Bombyx mori: one gene and its partner. The protein of the gene in region 2 purifies or fractionates together with the protein of the main gene of each other region. This does not show direct contact. Links are inferred from orthologs where the notes say so. Each region holds a gene or a part of one and is shown on either strand. Other genes may lie near its edges.

Region 1 (2,796 bases), about 6.3 Mb from region 2:
TTCGTAGACTTTCGTTTCTTCGATGAAATGGTCTGATCTTTGTTTTTCGACTCTTTCTTTTTCTTGTGTTTCTCAGTCTTTAATGTCTTTCCCTCGTCGACAGTTAATTCAGTATTTTCAACGACATCTTCTTTCAGTTGCTCGCCGTTGCTTTTAAAAACTCCATCGATGAGTAAAATATCTTCAGTTTTCTCATTTTTTATCGATTCTGTCGCACTTTGCTTGCGTTGCTTTGATTTCTTGTCCTTCTTTTTCTTAACAGGTTTATCAGGCGTGTCGTTTTCTGCGTTTTTGGATTTTTTTGCCGGTTTATCTTTCTTTTTGTCTAGCAAACCGACGCCGGGGGACGGATATTGTTGGAGACGTGACGTAAGAAGCTCGTCTTCGCGTAATGGCCTTAAAAAAAAAATTATGATTTACAAAGTTTTTATTCGATTTTAGGTATACAGTTCAGATCTAAAGGACGTGCCGCGGGTAGTAGCGAGCAACGACACGTCATTATAGATCCTCCCGATCCACTAACAGTGCTTTTGGGTAACCCAAGAACCGGTCATTGTTCTCGTCGAACCCATCGCTTGCGACGAAAGGCTCGACGAGTAAACTGACCCATAAATATAATCCACTGAGTTTCTCGCCGGATCTTCTCAGCGGGTCGCGTTTCGGATTCGGTGGTAGATTCTGCGAAGCACTGCTCTTGCTATGTCCAGTGTTAGCAACACTTCCGGTTTGAGCCCTGTGAGCTCACCTACATGTTAAGGCGAAGCTGAAATAGCCTCTCCAGGCTCTCAGCGTGGGTAGAAAAAAAAGCGAGCAACGGTAGTAACTCCAAAGTATAAGCTGTACTGTACCTGTCGAGGTCGAGGTCGAGCGCGTGGTGCGGGTCGTCGTGCGGCGGCGGCGGTTCGTCGTCGGACGGCGCCGCGCCCTCGGGCAGCTCCCCGCCCGCGCACACCGCCGGCCGCCGCTCCCACTCTGCACACACACGCATATACAGGTTACTTACTATACCACCTATACTATAGCTGATTTTGTATTGTATAGATACATACGGCAATTCAAGGCGATTATTAATCGTTTTTCGACAACATTCATCCTCAAATTAGCCTATATATATATGGACTTTATGGCGAGAACGCGAGGATTGAAGTTGTGTGATTTGTTTTATTTTGTCTATTTAGTGTTTCTTTAGGTTTAAATGTATAATAACGGTGGTTTATTAACTGTTTAATATCTGTGAAAGTGCACAAATGTGGGATAATGAAACAAAGCCGCTGAACGTTACTTCTCGCGATCCTCCAAAAAGTCCACTGAAAAAATCTCAGGCATGAAATATAATCTCAGATTTTACTAAGATTATATTTCATCCCATATCATCTCGTCTCATTTAATTTAATTTCATCCCATTTGATTAATGTGTCAAATTAATCATCTTCATTTCATTTCATTTCACTCCATATTATTATTTTTCATAAAAATAAGAATATACATTAAAATAAGACATGACTTAAAGGTCTTAGTTACCAGGTCACAATTTCCCTTTAAAAAAAAATAGCCTACTATAATTTAATATTCTAATCAAGAAGTTCGAAAACATAAAAATGTTTATTTCTACAAGTTGAAATGTGCGTGTGAGAACTAATAAATCAATCTACCTAGTCAGGTCATAAATTCTGTCACATGTTGAATGTAAAATAATTGAAACAAGTTTATTCATTATGTAACCATTCATATACCAAAATGAACTTAACAAAACATAGATTCTTATGACACTAAAGTTTATTCAAAATGTCCTCCGTATTTTGAATACAGGCCTTCAATCTGCGCGGCCAGTCGTCTATCGCAGCACGAACGAAGTCCATGTCAATATCGGCGGCTGCCTTAATCAAGGCTTTGAGCACGCCTTTTCCTCCAAGTGTTGCCATATTTTGTAATTTAACGGATTCAAATCTGGACTGGAGGAGGGCCAGTCTTCGTGCCGGATGAAGTCGATTTCACGCGCCGCCAGCCAGTCTTGTGTGCTCTTCGCTCTATGAGCTGGCGCCGAATCTTGTTGGAATACCCAGTGCCTGTTATTGAACATGGTATGAGAAACAGGTTCCACAAGGTTCGTCAGGACTGTATTTTGATACACAACTGCATTCGTTTTTACACCTTTCTTACAAAAATGTACCTCTGTTAAGCCCCAATAAGAAACTCCCAACCATACCATGAGCGAGGATGGAAAATGACCTCGTTGGACACGCGGAATACGGTTGCTCGCTTCTTCACTACTGTGTGCATACACCTTATCATTTTGTTTGTTGTAGCTCTCTTCTACGGTAAAAATTTTTTCATCCGAAAAAATAATTTCCCGATATTTTTTTCCCGCGTACCGTTTCAACAAAGCGCGGCATCTCTTCAGTCTCAGGTCCATTAGACGAGCATTCAAACGATGTCCTGTTTTTCTTTGATATGCCCGAAGCCCTAAGTCTTCATTTAACACCCTTTTCACCGTGGTTCTGCTTAACCCCATCTGAAGGGCCAACAGTTTCTGCTTACGTTTGGGATTTCTTTGAATTCGCGCCTTCACAGCTTTTATCACTGCTGGAGTCTTAACAGACCGAGGGTGACCACTTCTTGACCTGTCATCTACACTAGAGTCTTCATTGTATCGTTTGATGGTTTGATGGCTTTTGGTTATATTCAAATTTTTCAGTATGTTAAAAATTTTAATTGGCGCGTAACCGCAACGATGCAACGCAATAACTGCAACACGGTCTTCTTTAAGCGTCCACTCCATATTTAAAAATGAGTAAA
Region 2 (3,627 bases):
AAACCCAAAGTGAATGAGGTCAAGCTAGTTTTTTCAGTTTTTGTGTATATTTTGTAATGAACTATTTATAATAACGCATCGTATATAATAATTGAAGCCCCCGGAACCATTTTAATCTCAATTTTATTAGTATTACCCTAAGAAAAACCATTGAAAATTTGTGTTGGGATTTGGAAAGGGTCCCGATTTGCCCCATTTTACGTTATAAAAGTATCCATTTCGTGTACACTAGTGGATGTATGCACATATTGCAGCGACTTTAACGGGAACGCGAGGAGTGAAGTTGTGCTATTTGTTTTATTTTGTCTATTTAGTCTTTCTTCAGGTTTAAATGTGTAATAACGGTGGTTTATTAACTGTTTAATATCTGTGTGAAAGTGCACAAATGTGGAAAAATGAAACAAAGCCGTTGGTCGTAACATCTCGGGATCCTCCAAAAAGTCCACTGAAAAAATCTCAGTAAATGACCACCATTTTACTGAGATTATATTTCATCCCATATCATCTCATTTCATTTCACTCCATATTATTATTTTTCATAAAAATAAGACTTGACTTAAAGGTCTTAGTTACCAGGTCATAAAATCCCTTTAAAAAAAATATCGTGTTGCAGCTTACCACAGCGCGTGCATCGACCCGTGGCTGACGCAGAACAAGCGCGTGTGTCCGGTGTGCAAGCGCCGCGTGGTGTCCGCCGGCGAGCCCCGCCCCCGCCGCTCCTCCTCCTCCTCCGACTCCGACACCGAGCCGCTCCTGCCGCAGCCGCGGGACCAGGTGCGCCCGCAACCACTCGTGGCCTAAAGGATAAGACGTCCGGTGCATTCGTATGTAGCGATGGACCGGGGTTCGAATCCCGCAGCCGGGTACCAATTTTTCTAATTAAATACGTACTCAACAAATGTTCACGATTGACTTCCACGGTGAAGCGATAACATTGTGTAATAAAAATCAAACCCGCAAAATTATAATTTGCGTAATCACTGGTAGGACGTCTTGTGAGTCCGCGCGGGTAGGTACCACCGCCGTGAAGCAGTAATGCTTTTCGGTTTGAAGGGTGGGGCAGTAGTTGTAACTATACTGAGACCTTTAGAACTTATATCTCAAGGTAGGTGACGGCATTTACGTTGTAAATGTCTATGGGCCTAAGCGATAAAAGATAAATAAAAAATCACCAACCGGTGGACCGTACGCTCATCTGCCTACAAGAACAACAATAAAAAATTGGATTAACTAGAATTTATTCACGACACAAATAAGTCCTAATATTTTTTGTTTATATAATCGTTTCAGGGAGGAGGAACATTTGAAGAGCAACGCGAGAATCCTTTCGTGCGAGCGGCGAGATTCATGTCGAGGTTGCGGGCTCGAAATAACCAGAATAGTGCTGATGCAGAGGTAAATCACATTTCGTTTGGCTGTATAGCCTTCGTTTCCTTGGCATTTTATTGATATACTTGCGACCCGCCCTCGCTTCGCTTCGGAAACATTAAAACACACATGAAACCAAAAAAATAAAATAAAAAATAAATAAATAAAAGTAGCCTAAGTTCGTCAGGGACAATGTCGGCTTCTAATGGAAAAAGAATTTTTCAAATCGGTCCAGTAGTTTCGGAGTCTATTCGAAACAAACAAACAAACAAATCTTTCCTCTTTATAATATTAGTATAGATTACATAACACAGAACAAATGCAGGGAATTCAACAATCCGCATACCAACATACCTCGCGTTCCCGTCGAGAAAGCAAAATGATTAACAAATATATTTTGATCAATGCTATTACGAGTTTTCATTGAAACGAAATACGAAATTTTATTCCACAGGTCCCTCCTGAACTAGAAGATAGTCAAGAAACGTCTGATCAGGACGAATTGAAGTAAGTTCGATTTTTCTCTTTGCCACCCACTAAATACGATGCAAAATAGTTTTGTATGGAATAGTATATGTGTAAAGAAAAACCTTTTTTATGTAATTTTTCTATAAAATCTTTTTTTTTTAAGTATTTCTTTTACGTACTGTACCCTCTGTCATTGAGAAAAAAGACGAGTTCAGTTTTATTTTATTCAAGAATACTGTGAAAAATAAAGGCTTTACATGTTTTTTTCTACGCAATTAAGCCTTTTATTATTGCTTAACCACTTTTAGAATATTCCATTATAAAGTGTTATCTGTGTCTGTTTCTTTACATATATAGTTGTATGGACTTTTTGGCGGGAACGCGAGGAGTAAAACTGTGTGATTTGTTTTATTTTGTCTATTGAGTGTTTCTTCAGGTTTAAATGTAATAACGATGGTTTATTAACTGTGAAAGTGCACAAATGTGGGAAAATAAAACAAAGCCGCTGGACGTAACTTCTCGGGATCCTCCAAAAAGTTCACTGAAAAAATCTCAGTAAATGACCACCATTTTACTGAGATTATATTTCATCCTATCTCATCTCATTTCATTTCACTCATCTTTCATAAAAATAAGAATATAAATTGAAATAAGCTATGACTTAAAGGTCTTAGTTACCAGGTCATAATCCCTTAAAAATATATATAGTTGTATTATACAATACAGTGTTATTAAGATAATAATTAATTTAGTATCGGTAGGACACCCTCATACCCTCTCTCCCCGTGGTGAAATGTCAGACCGATAACAATAAACATTGTAGGAGAATGATACCCCGCCCCGCTTAGCTGCTTACTATGCAGTTGTAGTAATGAGCAATAGACGTTAGTCAGTCAGTGGTTAACGTGCAGCGATCCACCGCGGTCGTTGACGCGAATAAACATGTAATCATACTCAGTGTTTTATTGACCGCCCCGATGAGGTTTCCGGAGAACAACACGCAACGGACAATCAACATAACTCACACACTCCGTCCACCTTCTCCATAAAAGCCTCACAACATAAATAAATAAATGTTGTTTCTGTGCAGCGGCAGTACCGAGGCGCAGCCCCTGCTGGAGGAGCGCGCCCCCCACTCCATCAACGGCTCCTCGCGCGGGGAGATCGGTACGTACCGCGCGCCGCCGCTGGCTTGAGGCGTGACATTTGAGGTCGCTCATTGTGTCACGTCCGAACCGGACCAGAATAACGACTATAGTATTCGATTCGGAGTCATAGGTAGCTTAAACTTGCCTTTTTTATTGTCGTTATATTACTTCCGAAGCTTCGAATACTCCACAGTCATAATGGCCACGGACGACTAAGGACACATGGATATTAAAGAACACAAAATTCATATAGAAAACGCGGAAATAAACGATAAAATGTAGTTTAAATAATACATCCCTAATAGATAAATAGTGGTACCTAGTTGTGCAGATGAGTCCGCGCGGGAGGGTAACAGCACTCTGCCTATTTCTGCCGTGAAGCAGCAATGCGTTTCGGTTTGAAGGGTGGGGCAGCTGTTGGAACTATACTTAAGACCTTAGAACTTATCTCAAGGTGGTTGGTGCATTTACGTCGTAGATGTCTATGGGCTCAGTAACCACTTAACACCAGGTGGGCTGTGAGCTCGTCCACCCATCTAAGCAATAAAAAAATAATACAGAAATTGTTTGATAGTTGAAATGTGTTAAGTGTTGTTCGTCTGTCTGTGTGTCCGCAGGGGTGGCGGCGCTGCCGGCTCCCGCC

What was found.
Region 1: the proteins of E3 ubiquitin-protein ligase RNF13 (region 2) and AP-3 complex subunit delta purify together in Homo sapiens (affinity purification with mass spectrometry; 3 studies listed by BioGRID and IntAct, counting the BioPlex papers as one, with this or other methods). This does not show direct contact. The link is inferred for Bombyx mori from reciprocal best matches to the Homo sapiens genes RNF13 and AP3D1.

The regions. Positions count from the first base shown.
Region 1 is NC_085121.1:9,322,309-9,325,104, reverse strand, and holds part of AP-3 complex subunit delta, read right to left. Parts: intron 973-2,796; coding exon 849-972; intron 397-848; coding exon 1-396. UniProt on the Homo sapiens protein: Part of the AP-3 complex, an adaptor-related complex which is not clathrin-associated. The complex is associated with the Golgi region as well as more peripheral structures.
Region 2 is NC_085121.1:15,589,573-15,593,199, reverse strand, and holds part of E3 ubiquitin-protein ligase RNF13, read left to right. Parts: intron 1-613; coding exon 614-774; intron 775-1,290; coding exon 1,291-1,395; intron 1,396-1,822; coding exon 1,823-1,875; intron 1,876-2,926; coding exon 2,927-3,003; intron 3,004-3,601; coding exon 3,602-3,627. UniProt on the Homo sapiens protein: E3 ubiquitin-protein ligase that regulates cell proliferation. Involved in apoptosis regulation. Mediates ER stress-induced activation of JNK signaling pathway and apoptosis by promoting ERN1 activation and splicing of XBP1 mRNA.